Linked DNA regions of Lepisosteus oculatus. The protein of the gene in region 3 purifies or fractionates together with the protein of the main gene of each other region. This does not show direct contact. Links are inferred from orthologs where the notes say so. Each region holds a gene or a part of one and is shown on either strand. Other genes may lie near its edges. The genes, in order: hspbp1, fbxw7 and hsf1.

The links.
Region 1: the proteins of hsf1 (region 3) and hspbp1 purify together in Homo sapiens (affinity purification with mass spectrometry; 5 studies listed by BioGRID and IntAct, counting the BioPlex papers as one, with this or other methods). This does not show direct contact. The link is inferred for Lepisosteus oculatus from reciprocal best matches to the Homo sapiens genes HSF1 and HSPBP1.
Region 2: the proteins of hsf1 (region 3) and fbxw7 purify together in Homo sapiens (affinity purification with western blotting; 4 studies listed by BioGRID, with this or other methods). This does not show direct contact. The link is inferred for Lepisosteus oculatus from reciprocal best matches to the Homo sapiens genes HSF1 and FBXW7.

The regions. Positions count from the first base shown.
Region 1 is NC_090702.1:1,501,343-1,506,703, forward strand, and holds the start of hspbp1 (hsp70-binding protein 1), read left to right. Parts: upstream 1-1,630; 5' UTR 1,631-1,945; intron 1,946-4,206; 5' UTR 4,207-4,211; coding exon 4,212-4,331; intron 4,332-5,361. UniProt on the Homo sapiens protein: Inhibits HSPA1A chaperone activity by changing the conformation of the ATP-binding domain of HSPA1A and interfering with ATP binding. Interferes with ubiquitination mediated by STUB1 and inhibits chaperone-assisted degradation of immature CFTR.
Region 2 is NC_090696.1:25,229,267-25,234,627, reverse strand, and holds the start of fbxw7 (F-box/WD repeat-containing protein 7), read right to left. Parts: upstream 3,055-5,361; 5' UTR 3,040-3,054; coding exon 2,887-3,039; intron 1-2,886. UniProt on the Homo sapiens protein: Substrate recognition component of a SCF (SKP1-CUL1-F-box protein) E3 ubiquitin-protein ligase complex which mediates the ubiquitination and subsequent proteasomal degradation of target proteins.
Region 3 is NC_090705.1:33,077,692-33,083,052, reverse strand, and holds the start of hsf1 (heat shock factor protein 1), read left to right. Parts: upstream 1-2,174; 5' UTR 2,175-2,494; coding exon 2,495-2,626; intron 2,627-5,361. Other genes in the region: ribosome biogenesis protein bop1, read right to left, coding at 1-126, 1,735-1,851. UniProt on the Homo sapiens protein: Functions as a stress-inducible and DNA-binding transcription factor that plays a central role in the transcriptional activation of the heat shock response (HSR), leading to the expression of a large class of molecular chaperones, heat shock proteins (HSPs), that protect cells from cellular insult damage.

The DNA.
Region 1 (5,361 bases), on a different chromosome or scaffold from region 3:
ACACACCTGTACAGACTCTTACTGGAGACACTGTATAGACACACACCTGTACAGACTCTTACTGGAGACACTGTATAGACACACACACCTGTACAGACTCTTACTGGAGACACTGTATAGACACACACACCTGTACAGACTCTTACTGGAGACACTGTATAGACACACACCTGTACAGACTCTTACTGGAGACACTGTATAGACACACACACCTGTACAGACTCTTACTGGAGACACTGTATAGACACACACACCTGTACAGACTCTTACTGGAGACACTGTATAGACACACACCTGTACAGACTCTTACTGGAGACACTGTACAGACACACAGCTGTACAGACTCTTACTGGAGACACAGTACAGACACACAGCTGTACAGACTCTTACTGGAGACACTGTATAGACACACACACACCTGTACAGACTCTTACTGGAGACACTGTATAGACACACACCTGTACAGACTCTTACTGGAGACACTGTATAGACACACACACCTGTACAGACTCGACATTGTATAGACACACTTTAGCCAGTGTTTATCAATCCTGAGTCTGGGCCCTTAATCACTGTTGCTAATTAGTTTCTATAACCAATTTCATTGTTTTGACTTTTTTCTGCACCCAGACTTTGGTTTCAAATGTACCCAGCTTAAGGGACTGTGTATCATTTACATTTATTACAGACTGGACAGCCCAGAGCTCAGGTCTCAGAGCTGTATCTTACACTCAAACACGGAGTTTCTCCTCAAGTGCAACTGGTCAGATTTCAGCACAGATGCAGCACGTAAACACACACAGATATACCAACTCTGATCTCATAGACCTTCACACACAAAATTACACAGACACAGCATGATCACGCACATACAGACACACTCGGACCTCTCAGACCCTCAGACACAAAATTACACACACAGACACACTCTGAACTCTCTGACCCACACACACAAAATTACACACACAGACACACTCTGAACTCTCTGACCCACACACACAAAATTACACACACAGACACACTCTGAACTCTCAGACCCTCAGACACAAAATTACACACACACACTCTGAACTCTCAGACCCTCAGACACAAAATTACACACACACACTCTGAACTCTCTGACCCACACACACAAAATTTCACACACAGACACACTCTGAACTCTCTGACCCACACACACAAAATTTCACACACAGACACACTCTGAACTCTCTGACCCACACACACAAAATTACACACACAGACACACTCTGAACTCTCTGACCCACACACACAGCATAATCACACACATGCACAAACTCACATGCACACACGTACAGACACGCTCTGAACTCTCAGACCCTCACACACAAAATTACACACACAGACACATGCACATACTCACACATACAGACGCACTCTGATCTCATAGACGCTCACACACACACACTTACACACAGCTCCAAACCCCAGGATATATTAAGATGTTGCACAAACCACGGTGATCTATTTAAGAGCTGTAAAAAAAAATCACGAATCGGCTCCAATCGGACACTTAAAAGTCGGGTTTTCTGCAGCTCCTACCGCGGCCCTTCTAATCGGAGGAAGCGGTATTTGCCGGGGAGGGGATAAATGCGCGGTCGCCTCTATTCGTGCCTTTACGGTAGCGGCGCTTTCCAATATGGCCGCGCCCGTGGAGTCCCCACGCCATGTCGGCGGGCCCGTCCCCTCCAGAAGCTTCTACCGCTCTCCGCCCGTATAAACACGCCGCGAGAGGGGAGGCCTGTGCTGGAAACCCCGTCGTGCCCTGATCTCGGGAATATCCGCCCCCACGGCGTCGGGCCTCGCTGTTGGTAGTGGTGTCGCCAGAGGGGGGTCGTCCGGACGCGAAAACAGCCGGGCGTCGGCTGCACCGAGGAGGGACCTCGTGACGGGACCGGCCTGGACTGCGGTGCCGAGGGTCCAGGTGAGCGAGCATCTTGTGTTTGTTTTTTAAAATATATAGTGAGAGTCACTAAATCTCTCAGTAACACACACAGCAGGACAGGAGACACAGTGAGAGAGAGGAGATCACGGAGAGTCCCTCAGTGATAAACACACACAACAGGACAGGAGACACAGTGAGAGAGAGGAGATCACGGAGAGTCCCTCAGTGATAAACACACACAACAGGACAGGAGACACAGTGAGAGAGAGGAGATCACAGGGAGCCCCTCAGTCATAAACACACACAGCAGGACAGGAGACACAGTGAGAGAGAGGAGATCACAGAGAATCCCTCAGTAATAAACACACACAACAGGACAGGAGACACAGTGAGAGAGAGGAGATCACAGAGAGTCCCTCAGTGATAAACACACACAGCAGGACAGGAGACACAGTGAGAGAGAGGAGATAATAGTGGGAAAGGCACAGCCATGACTCCCCCCGGGGCTGTGCCGCGGTGGGGCAGATCGTCTCCGGTCCCGGTCCCGGACGGTGTGTGTTTTCTGTGGCTGTGGGAACTCTGGAGGGAGGGGAGGGGAGGGGGTGGGAGCGGGTTCAAGTCTCGGCCGGGGTGAAGCCCGGTCCAGCGGGGCCTCTGACCCACGATCACGCCGCCGGCCCGGCCCAGCGGGGCCTCTGACCCACGATCGCGCCGCCCGGCCCGATCCAGCGGGGCCTCTGACCCACGATCGCGCCACCCGGTCGAGAGCGGAGCCGCATTTCGAGCAGAACGCGGGGGCTGAGATCGGGGGACCCTCGGCTCAGGGAAGACCTCCCCTCCTCTTCGTTCGGTTCTGCGCCCCTGCTAGCGTGCCGGGGTACCCCGATACCACTGCCTCTTCTGCAGCTTGATGCAGTGTCGGGACGGGGGGAGGAGTCTCAGTACCGACCGAATGAAATCGGCCGAACCGATCTTAATATCACCCTGCAGCTCCCAGCTGACACAGCCCACTGGAGCCCAGCAGGGGGGAGCCTGGCCAGTACCTGGAGGGGAGACTCCTGGGAAAGCTGAGGCTGCTGCTGGGAGAGGTGTGAGTGGGGCCAGCAGGGGGCGCTCACCCTGCGGTCTGTGTGGGTCCTCATGCCCCAGTATAGTGACGGGGACACTAGACTGTAAACAGGCGCCGTCCTTCAGATGAGACGTCAAACCGAGGTCCTGACTCTCTGTGGTCATTAACAATCCCGGGGTGTCTCTCGACAAGAGTAGGGGTGTTACCCCAGTGTCCTGGCCAAATTCCCCCCCCTGGCCTTTACCCCTCATGGCCTCCTAATAACCCCCCTCTCTGAACTGGCTCCATCCCTCTGCTCTCCTCCCCACTGAGAGCTGGTGTGTGTGAGAGGACTGGAGCATCATCCAGGTGGGGCTGCACACTGGTGGGGGTAGTGGGATTCCCCCTGACCTGGGAAGAGCTCTGGGTGGAGGGTCCAGACAGGGGCTGTACAAGTGTGAGGGATTATTATTATTAATGACTCTTTCTGCCTCTAAAAAAATCTCAAACTTCTGATGCCTCAGAGGTGATGTGCGTCTCTGTGCCTTGTGGCTCCCTGTTCTTCATGTTTCATAAGTTGGTCTTATCGCGTTTCATGATCTCTCCAATTCAAATCGACATTCAAATCACCTGGGAATGACTGTCGTTCTACTGCCAAAACAAATACCAGCACGCTCTCTCAGTGCAGTGTTAATGTACTGGAGTGTCCAGTCAGTGTGTCTGTATTAACCCCTCTCTCTCTCAGTGCAGTGTTAATGTACTGGAGTGTCCAGTCAGTGTGTCTGTATGAACCCCTCTCTCTCTCAGTGCAGCGTTAATGTACTGGAGTGTCCAGTCAGTGTGTGTGTATGAACCCCTCTCTCTCTCAGTGCAGTGTTAATGTACTGGAGTGTCCAGTCAGTGTGTCTGTATGAACCCCTCTCTCTCTCAGTGCAGTGTTAATGTACTGGAGTGTCCAGTCAGTGTGTCTGTATGAACCCCTCTCTCTCTCAGTGCAGTGTTAATGTACTGGAGTGTCCAGTCAGTGTGTCTGTATTAACCCCTCTCTCTCTCAGTGCAGTGTTAATGTACTGGAGTGTCCAGTCAGTGTGTCTGTATTAACCCCTCTCTCTCTCAGTGCAGTGTTAATGTACTGGAGTGTCCAGTCAGTGTGTCTGTATGAACCCCTCTCTCTCTCAGTGCAGTGTTAATGTACTGGAGTGTCCAGTCTGTGTGTCTGTATTAACCCCTCTCTCTCTCTCTCTCTCATTAGGCAGTATGGCCGAGGGCAGAGGCAACAGGCCCAACCCACAGAACCTTCAAGGCCTCCTGCGGTTGGCTGTGGAGGCTGGCTCCGCCTCCGATGAGCCCGCCCCCACGGAGCCCATGTCCGAGGAGGTAACTGCCCAAGGGGCGCCGAGCTCGAGTCCGCCCGCCCGCCCGCGCCGGTCAGTCTGTGACCGCGGCGCCCTCGAGGCCGGAGCTGCGGACAAGCGTCGGAGTTTTCCTCTGCAGTGTGTCTGCGTGACTCTTCCCCGTGGGCATGGAGACAGACAGGCCTGATTATGTCCATGTAATAAATATAATAGGGATATATAATAAGAAATACATAGATATTATATATATGTATGATAATAAATTACATAGGAATAAGTATATATATTAACAGGCTCGATTATATTGATCCCTCATGTAATATATATAATAGGAATATATCATTGTTATATAATAAATGCAGAAATATATCAGACCATATTATATATAACCGTATTCAAGAAAGTATAATATGGGTATATAATAATTATTTACTAATAAGTATATGCTTTATATATAGTAGGCCCTATTATATTTAAATCCAAAGTATATTTACATCTAGAACATGTATTATATATTAGTTATGTCGTATTTTATGTATGTTATTTCTTCTATATATCCCTATAATGTTTCTCTCTAGTATATGATTATTATTCCTGTTGTTATTATTTATATCCTCCAAAATGCAGAAGTGTCTGGGGTGTGTTACTGTGATGAGTCTGTATCTGGGCGTCTCGGTTTGTGCCAGTCCAGCCCCTGCAGCTCCCAGCTCACACACCCCACTGGAGCCCAGCAGGCGGGACCCTGGCCAGTACCTGGAGGGGAGACTCCTGGGAAAGCTGAGGCTGCTGCTGGGAGAGGTGTGAGTGGGGCCAGGAGGGGGCGCTCACCCTGCGGTCTGTGTGGGTCCTCATGCCCCAGTATAGTGACGGGGACACTAGACTGTAAACAGGCGCCGTCCTTCGGATGAGACGTCAAACCGAGGTCCTGACTCTCTGTGGTCATTAACAATCCCGGGGTGTCTCTCGACAAGAGTAGGGGTGTTACCCCAGTGTCCTGGCCAAATTCCCCCTCTGGCCTTTACCCCTCATGGCCTCCTAATAACCCCCCTCTC
Region 2 (5,361 bases), on a different chromosome or scaffold from region 3:
ACTGAGCTGTGTTCACCAACGGCGGTGGTGAATCGGACCAACTGTCCAGCCTGGGGAAGTAGAGGGCTTCGGGTTCAAATGGGATACATTTGTACAGTACAGTATGCACTGTGGAGAGGTGATGTCAAATATTTTTCATCAACAAAAACAAAACTAACATCCAAGACTACAGAATCAGAGAAACAAGTTAGCAGTTTAAAATGTAATTTGTTAATACCTTCAGTTTCTTTCACAAATCCGCTGTGTAATCTCCCTTCTGCTTTCTTTGCTTATTCCAGCAGTCAGGTGAGATTCCTCCCTAAGTGCACTGACAGACGCGGAGTTGATTGGCTGGAGTGACACCACAATGCCAATGAGAATGGACAGACTAACTTTCAAATAATATATTTAATATGTATCACAAAGTGATGCAATCTGATGCAGAGTTTTAATACTTAGATGAGTAAACATGACGGGTTCTGTGAAAAAGCCTTTCATTATTTAACTTTTTTTTTCTTCATTCCCTCTGGATGAAGAGCTTTTGTCCCATAAAATGTAAGTTAACACTAAACCTGATTTTCTAAAGGGGCAAAAACAATTTAGTCTACACTTTCTAATTAGAGTTTGCGTCTTTGAATCATTGGGTATCAATCATTTTCAAACATTGGTCATTCATCTTTAGGAGATTTTATGACATCAAAATTAATAAAAATCAGACAAAATCCACTTTTTATTTGAGCTCTTTTGGCTTCATGTTTAAGAATAAGGATGATAAAGAATAAAAAAGAGTGTAGTTTACATTGCCCATTGGATGTATAGTCTTTACCTTTGTGAAATAATGTATGCTGAGCTAGAACATCATCAGGAGAATGACTTGAGGCAATGATACATGACTGAACAGACATGACATGAGTACTGGAAATTCAGTTTACGTTTGTCCTCAACAGGCTTGATCAACAGAGGAGTTACAGTCACATGCAAATAGCGTGTGGACACCACACGAAGCAGTACAAAACTGCAACATTTTTAGAGCCAGGTTGCAGATGCTGTTTTGTGGAATTGTGTTGAGATTCGACAAGTTCACTGATCGCTTGTTCACTGTTCTCTGAACCCTAGATGCCAGGTCACCCCACAAACGTTCAGTGGGGCTACTGTATGGTGAGTAGGGTATCCATGATGCAGCAGGTTGCAGATGCTGTCTTCTGTGATTGTGTCCCATTTCTCTTATACCACCTGGACAAGCACGTGTCCCTTCTCTTGTTTCTGAGCCCTAGTTACCACTCACTATCCCAATTCATCTGAACAAACATTCAATGGGACTCAAGTCTATCAGGTAGGGCATCCATGCCATCACTGTCTCGTTCTTATTTGCACACTAGTAGCATGAGAAGGTGCTTCACCTGGTTACAATCTTGTCATGTCAGGGTGAGCCCACAAGCAGGGCAGCAAGTAAGGAACTTGATCACCACAGCACCGTGCATACACACTGCCAACAATCACTACAAGTGGAGCTCTGTAGTGAACAGTCCTCCTCAGACCATGACAGCTGGACCCCCTGATCCAGATTGTGTTTAGTGGCCTCGAAGATCACGGCTTACTGTTGACAGACTGTGCTTCTCTGTGGTGTTTTGCCAGGTTATAAATGCCCGATAGCAAACACCTCAGACGCTAAGGAATAAGCAAAAACTATGTCACAGTCAATTGTGAACAATCAAAGTAACACCAAAACATTTCGGAAATATCAAACACCCATATGCTTTATGTTTCTAAAAAAAACATAAGTTGATTTCTTTTGGTGCGATTTTTCAGATGGTAGGGTGAGAGGATTGATTCACTGCCAAAGACCCATGTGCCAAATTTTCAAGATTAACACAATTCACATTTTTAAGCTTGAAAAAAAAAAATGAATTCATCTCTTCTGAATTCAGACAGCTAAAGGAAAACGTACAAGTTAAAACACAGTTCTTATGAACTAAGAAATTCAGAAATTCAATTTTGCACTCATTCTAGAACACAAATCCTGGCCACACCCAGGAAGGGGGCAAAAAGTCAATATTCCATATGATAAAACATTTAGAAGCCCTAAACAGAGACTATAAAACCTGAAAATCTATTTTTAAAGTAAACAGAAAGACGTTTAACAGCTCTAAATACTAATTAGCTTATATGTTTCATGTTCACTCCCATATTGCTCTGGTAAGTCTGTTTGGAGCTTTCACTGAATCATGAATGGCAAAGTCAAATCTCTGAATATTTACAATAACAATTCAGAAAGATCAACATACATATGCACACAGACATAAATGTATCATTCATGAAGCACAAGGAGCTGAGTATGCAAACCCCAACACTAACAAGAAGAGCAGTTTCCTAGACATCATGGCTGGTTGATAATTGCCCCTTTTCAGGCTGGTGACCCAAAAAGCAGCAGACAATTATCAAACAACCCCGCTACAAATGGACAGCTTGTTTCATTTCGTCTCTCCCTCTGACAAAAGACTCACTCCTTTCTCTCAATGAGTAGCAGCAGAGAGGCGGCAGACCACTAGAAATCTCAAAGCATCCATTAAGAGCGCTCACCGGTTCAAAGCAAACCTACAGTTGCCAGGACAGCCAGTAAATCACCTGATCCCATTACAAAATCAATTACTGCAGTGCATTTCCATTGCTACGCTGCCTGATGATGGCAAAATGATATTGGATAGTTACTGCAAGGTCAGGCATTAACCGATCATGTATACGTCCTCCCCGATTGCGACCTTATTTTAATATTCGCAGCACAATGGCGAAATGAACAAACTCGTGTCCGAAAACAGCACAACCCCAAAGTTGTTGTTTTTTTTAGCGGGACTCGCGCGATGAGAGCCCTTAGCAACAGTGGCGGACGCTGGCTTGCTGCGGCTTTACCTTGGGCTGTTTGGGACATCCGGTGGCCAGCCGCTGCAGGTGCTCTGAGGTGTGGCTGCAGGAGAGCAGGTCAGAGCAGCACGTGGAGCGGCCCAGCCTCTTCATCAAGGACGAGATAATGCTGCAGCCACAGCCGCACATTGACTTGCTCATCAGGGGCTGTGCTGCTCCAAGGAAAATAGTCAAAGGGATGCTCGCTGCCGAGGCTCCTGCTTCTATTTTTAGTTCTTTTCCTAATTTCTTTTCTTTCTCCTTTAAGCTGCCGATGCCCAGTTCCAAAGCTCGCTTCTCTGCCTCAGCTGCCCCACTTCTGGGAACGGCTCACATCCCCTGCTACAGTCGTCTGGCCCCCAGCCAGCATGCCACACAGCAAGCAAAACACCTGATGCTTCCCAGTGAGAACCTCTCCTTGCCGAGCAGCAGAATTATCCCCTGGGTGAAACTTGGAAGTTCTGAGATCCAAGGTGAGAGGCAGGTTTTGTTTTTCCCCCATAGGCAGGTACCGCTCTGTGGGTTCCCTGTGAGGCCCAGCACACCTCACCTTACTCCTGGCAATCTTCACTCAGCTGCTACTGTACTCCATCCATTCAACCTGTTTCTTCCCCCACACCCCCCCCTCCCCACACACTCCGACTTCCCTTCTTCCTTTCCCAGCACCCAGCCACACCCCTTCTCCTTCTACTCCTCCTCCAGGCTACAGATCCCTCTAAGCCCAGCCAGAGGAGCTACTGATGCTGCTGCCGTTTCCTCTCCTTCCTAGCTGCTGCTGTGTCTGCTGCTACTACATTCTTCTGATGCTGAAAAGCAATAAGGAGCCCCGGATAAATCCTCCGGCTCGCCAATCAAGCCTGCTGCCCTTTTCATGACACTAACGCTCCCAGGGACCCGTCAATCACCCAGCAGCCATAATGACATGCGAGGAAACCAAGCCACTTGACTCCCTCCTGGGCTTCGAAGTGGCAAGCATCAGATGGCTAAAAGCAAGCAGCAAACAAAGAGTTAAATCAAGGCTCCTCTCTGCCGCGGTTTGTCATTATTGCCCGCCACTCTGGCCAAGCGACTCAGCTTGCAGGTGACAAGACAGCAAATGCTACCCCCAATACCGAACTGCCTGCATAGCATCACATGTTCCTTTTAACAGAAAAAGGATTATGCAGCTCAATTTGTAGCCAAAGTAACAATGTCTGCTACTTACAGTAATAACAAGCGCATAACCTCACAACCCAAAGAAAAAGGAAACGGAGTGAACAAGAGCCAAGCTACCCGCAGATCTTAAGCAGAAGCAGATTACTTTAACCACTAAAGTGCTCCGAGCTGCTCCTCCTGCTCCGCATCCTGCTAATTCACCTCAGCAGCCTTGAAAGGCACGGGGCTCACCTTATCAGAGGTCTAACTTGACACTCCAGAGAAAGTCATTTCTTCCAAACTGCGATCTCATGCCCATTTCCATATATTTATACCGACATCAAGGTCACAAAAACAAATAAAGTGATAAAAAGACTTAAAGCACCGAACATAATGACTGGAAATACAGAGAAAATGAGCATCAGCAGGCACAGTAGCTGAAAAATAAGATCGTGGTTCAAGTTGTGGCACTTTGCCAGCGGTCTATAAATAGCAATGTACTCTCATTCAGCAAGGAGCCTGTTTAAAATAGTTTCATGGTAAAAGGACAGATCTAGATGCTGAAGCTAAAAAACACGAGGGCAGCTTTTCACAGGACAGGAGAGCTCACAGGTCTTTCTTTTATCTTTGAATTGAACAGTTGTTCCAACCAGGTAAGCAGTGTTACTACTGACTCCTACAAAGAGGACGTTCTCTCCACACTTGAGGTGTCTGTCTGTCTTTTCCGATTTCAATCTGTCAGAGTTCTTGGTGAAGTCCCAAGAGATTTACACAGCAGCCTACGCCACTCGCAGTAAACAGCAGCCGCAGATTGGGATTTGGACTATAAACAAGTAAACAGCACAGAAAGTCTCTTTCCCGTTTAAATCCAAGATGCTGTCTCGCAGGCTGCACCGAGTCTGACAGGATCGCGTGGAGACTTGAAGGGAGGTGACTTGCGCCAAGAACGATCGCCCCTCTCTGTCTCAATTCCTGCTGTCTTCATTCAGATCCTAGATCCAGCACACGCTTGGCTTTACTGCTAAAAGAGGCAAGACTATCGCTGAAAGCAAGAACTCTCAGAGTGATTTATTACCATAAAACAGAGTGTACAAAAGAAGCTGATGACAGCCTTGTTCAGACATTTAATGAAAAAAGGAAACCGTATATTAACCATTTGAGTGGACTGACAGAGAAATAAAGGTGCTTTAAAGAGATGCTATAGTCCATTTTTAAGAAATGTTTTGAAATTCCCATCAACAAATGTAAAACAGGGATTTGAGATAGGGATGCTGCCTTATGTTCCATCCAGTACTGACACAGGTTACTTAAATTAAAGGTACTGTAGCAGTACCTCGGACAGCTTCTAAA
Region 3 (5,361 bases):
TTCCTCACTGTCACTGTCGCTCCCCGAGTCCTCCAGCCCTGAGAAAACACTCTCTTCGCTGTCAGACAGGTCCTCATCTTCCTCAGCATCACTGCCTCGAGATCCAGCCTTTTGGAACAAGGGGAGCTGAAACAGAGAAGGTTGCTATATAGTTAAGCAAAATCTAATCCATCCATCCATTTTCTTACTGCTTCATTCAGGGCTGAAGGGGAGCCAGAGCCTATCCTGGCAAACAAAAGGTATAAGGCAGGGTACACCCTGTACAGGATGCCAGTCCATCACAGGGCACACACAGACATGCCAAGACTCACAGCAGGGCTAGTTTTCCCAGAAGCCAATGAACATACCCAGTAAGCCAGCAGCCATATCACCCTGCAACTCACAACTGGCAACCCACTGAAGCTAAGCAGGTGTGAGCTGGAAGAGATGTTAATGGGGCAAACAGGGGTCACTCACCCTGCGGTATATGTGTCAAAATGCCCCAGTATAGTGACGGGGATACTATACTGTAAACAGGCGCTGTCCTTTGGATGAGACGTAAAACAGAGGTCCTGACTCTCTGTGGTCATTAAAAATCCCAGGGCGTTCCTCGAAAAGAGTAGGGGTGTAACCCCGGCGTCCTGGCCAAAATTCCCATCGCCCTTTATCAATCATGGCCTCCTAATAATCCCCCTCTATGAATTGGCTTCATTACTCTGCTCTCCTCCCCACTGATAGCTGGTGTGTGGTGAGCATTCTGGCGCACTATGGCTGCCGTCGCATCATCCAGGTGGATGCTGCACATTGGTGGTGGTGGTGGTGGAGGGGATCCCCATTACCTGTAAAAGTGCTTTGAGTGGAGTGTCCAGAAAAAGCGCTATATAAGTGTAAGCAATTATTATTATTATTATTATTATTATTATTATTATGTCACTGGACTGTGGGAGCAAACCGGAGCACCTGTAGGACATCCATACGAACAGGGGGAGAACATACAAACCCCACACAGATCAGTACCCCCAGGAATTTACCCCAGGGCCCTAGCGCTGCATGGCAGCATTGCTAACCACTGTGCCAGCAAATCCTAATGCTTTACTGAATACATACAACATTTGTCCAGCACATGTACATTGAGAGGCAACTACAACATTTGTCACTTAACTAAGGCTTTGAACCTATGAATTATACAACCCTATTAAGGTCCTTATGATGCCGAAATCACAAGTAAATTAAAAAAAAACACCTGGATATGAAACCAGAAATGATTATATTATTTTCTTCATAAATCTTTCGTTTACAGACGAAAGTGGCCACTGTTTCTGTCAGATAAACAAGTGGTTACGAACCTTACACTAACATATTAAGAGAACATAAGGCAGTCAGTAAACATTTAGTCAAAATATGTACTTTTTGTTATTCCCTTTAATAATCAATGTATGAGACTATCTAAGGTAGTGAAAAAACCATCTCTTAAAATGATACTCCAACGTTTTAAGACTCATTCCTTAAGGCAAATTGTAGGAATTAACTATGCGTTCCGTTTATAAATGAATACCTCAAATTAGAAATATACATTGTAATAAAATATTTTCAGAAAAGACACGCAGAAGTAAACACTGTTTTTCGAAGTTTAAATATTTGTTTATAGTGCTCTATAAACTGAGAAACATCTTGGCATTAAACGGTCCTGAAACTAGTTCATACTACTAGAAAGTATTTTGAACAAATAAAAAAAAATAATGTTTATTATTTTACCTGTTCCTCATCTTCTTCCGCTGTTCTTTTGAAACTTTTTTCTTTAGCTTTTCTACTCATGCTGCCGTTTTGCACAATTTCACTGAAGGCTGCAGACATGCTGTGGAGACTGACCATGTGGGACGCAGGGGTCAAGGTTTATAGTTCAGAGTTGAAATAAAAAAATCGTCGTTTATTACTACTTGAAATGAAAAAAATATTAACCAAAAAAATATAAATAATCTGCCCTGCTTTAAAGATATCTACGTAACATAAACAATTTTTCTGCAAATTGGGGTTAAAAGTCAAAGGCTCACGATATTTAATTTTTTAATCAACTCAAATTATGTTTTTCTAAAAACTATGTTTTTTCAATAGTGAATACTTCTACGAAATTCAATATACAATATATTTAATTTTATTGCTGCCGAAACCAAATGTGTATTTTGGGGTTTTTGGTGATGTCACAAAATGGCGACTACCATGCTAGTGTGGAATGTTTCGTTTCTACGCAGTTCGTAAAAATCCCTTTTTGGTGAAAAAATCAATGTCTTGATTTTCGATCGGCTAAAGGCAGGCCAGTGATAAGTGTCATTTAATTTACTGAAGGTCGAGAAGAGGAATAATACAACGTGGGATTAACGTTGCGACCCTTCAAGGCTGCTGTCTAGTTTTGAACTTCTGTGGTCTGCATATCGGATCTGTTTGTTGTTTTGTTTAGATTCTGCTTTACTTTGTGTTGCTTTCCTCCCTTCTTCTTTATTGTTGTTTTTCTGCTTTTATGGATATGGAATTTCATGGGGGTGGCTCTGGTGGAAGTTTGGTCAGTGGAAGTAATGTCCCTGCTTTCCTCACGAAACTTTGGACTTTGGTGGAAGACCCCGATACCGATTCGCTCATCTGCTGGAGTCCGGTAAGTGGGAGCACTGAAGGCGGATCTGGGCGACGAGAGACCAGATTCAGTTGTGTGAACATGGTTCAGTGACAGTAAACAAGCTGGGATGTTGCTTACTTTTATTTGTTTTGCGATCCTTCAGTGCATTTTATTTTCAGTTTGTGTTTCGGTTTGACCCCCACCTACACACGTTCGTCTTATTTTTAGCAGGTTGTTATAAAAAGTGTGTCTCTTTTCATTATAAATGTCATTTTGCCAGTCAGAGGCGAAGGCTGCTGATCATTCACCACAGGGTGATCATTTACTTGAATAAGCTTATATCTGTTGCAGTTTAATGGCAGCTGCCGGAATGGTTTGTGTTATCCTAAGAGATCTGTGAAAATCACTCTTATCTCGCCTTTTCGGATTTGTTTTCTTGAGTTTCGTGGAAGCGGGTGCGAGTTTAACCCCCCCCCCTTGTAGTTGTGAAAAGCAGGCAGACGACACTTGTTGCCAGTTGAGGGAGAGGCCATTTCATTGGGAAAAGGGGGTGTGGCCGCTATCTCTAACCTGAAATCGAAGTACTGGTGACCGACTCCGCGAATCCGAAAGGACAATCGATTAGTGGGAATCGAAACGAAATGATTGGTTTTGGTCTGCGGGAAATTGGGATTGGGATTGGTTTAAGTAGACAAACGCAACGTTAATGCTATTTTTGTGGGGCCTAATGGAGGCCTGGCCCGTAGTCTAAACCCCCCCAGATGAGCTGCTTGCGCTCATTGGGAAGAGCCCCTGCAAATTTCGGTTCCGCACGACCTTTTGAATTAAAACGCGACCGATTCCTTACGGTTTACTCGCACCGTGAACCAGACCGTTTAACATCTTTGGAGCTCGGAAACTTTATCGGCAGTAAATACTGAGGAGGGGAGGAGGGGGTCTGTCCAAGTGCGTTTCGGTTGGTTTGAAGTATGAGTGCGAACTCATTGCTGTTCAGAGTTCGTGCAGGATGGAGGCCGTGCGGGTGAAACCGCCGCACGGCTAAAAGTTCCCATATGCACATAAAGGATTATTTTCGGTGACTTTAATTGGGCCCCCTTGCTCTTTAACACAGGTCAAGAAAAATGTCATCACTCATTTTTACTGCTTTGCGTCACAACCTATTATGGACTACTTTTGGGAGAGCATGCAAATTTAAAAGTAGTTTAAAAGTCCCCTGGTGTCAATTAACCATTTGGGCAGAGCGAGTGAATTTAAGATGGCGTTGTATTCCTCACGTATCGCTTTAAAGGAGTGCACGTTTGGACAATAAGTCCTTGGAAATGTTGGTGTTTAAAGTCTGCCTTCTGTGACTCTACAATTGAAAGAAAGGTGTGTTAACTCTATTTTGAGTTTTGAACGTGCTTGCGAATTTGTCCAGGAAGTACATATCATAATAGGCTTCACCTCAAATGAAAGATGATATTATTGTCTTGCTTAGGTTAAACATTTTGCATAAAGCATTTATGTGAAGTCCTAAGCATAGATTTGATAAATGAAGAGAAATAAGATCCGGGAAGTTGTAGCTCGTAATCGTCTCTACCTCTTCCTTCACTATGCTTTGTGGTCTTCTCCCCTCTACTCTGGCCATTATTGTCTTGCTTTGTTTCGACTACTCCCCCTACCAAAACCCGCCGGTACTGCAGCGCGTATGTTGTCATGGCCTTAGTTTTGACCAACTTTTCCCCTCGCAAGATGGCTACCATATATGAAAATGTAAAAGAAAACACTTGAAGAGTTCAAAATTAAATTAGTCATCCATTCATTTTTTTCTGCTTAAAGCATCACAGCAAATATTTGACAGTCCTGTGTGTTTTATATATCATAAATATTTAAAATAACCTGTTTTTTTTAACATGGTGTGCCACAAAGACATATTCATGCCACGCAGACTGCATGAATTACCAGGTCCTACATCAAGATGTAGGACAGAAAGACAACAATCAATAATTCAATTTAAGTTATATAATTATGTGATTATGCATAATGTATTGATTTATATAATTCATTAAATTTCATTCAATATTTACTTTTTTCATTAGCTGTTTCCCCTAATTCCTCTTTTGTTTTGTTCAGTTACTGGTGAACTCCAAGCATTTGTTAAGGCAAATAGATATAATGTGTGAGGCCAAAATTAGGTAGGAGATGTATGGAGTTAACATGGACCTAAATGTGAAAGAAGCTTAAAATGGAAGTGATAAAATGGTGTCTAGCACCCAGTGCTCAGAGCAGATTAGGCAACTACAAAAAAGTCCGAAATATCTAAAGTTTTCTTATCATCTGAGAAGTGGAAGGAAATCAGCTCAGGTTGTGTAGGCTTACAGTTGAAGAACAGGACTATTCAGTCCTAACATGTAGAGCTTATTGTGGCAATCTGGTACAGAGAATATCCCTTGATCTGTTTAAGAGAAGCAAGGTTTTACAGTTTCAAATAACCATCTTCCAGAGGGAAGCTCTTCACTTAACCCGTCTTTTAATTGCTAAGTCTAGCGCCCTTCACAACACTTTGTCACAAAGCTCTTCACAAAGACTTCATCGTGACATAAATTGCTGAGCCACTTAACACTGAAGTGTGAATGGCAAAAACGCAGATGAAACTCTGCATGTGGGGACATCGCAAAGAAATGCGGAGGTCCTGCAATTTTTTATTTATTTCTGCTGGGTTTTGTGAAGGCAAGAAACAGCTGTGTACCCGTTTGAGTCCGTGAGGCTCACAGACAATGGTGTTCCACTGGTGT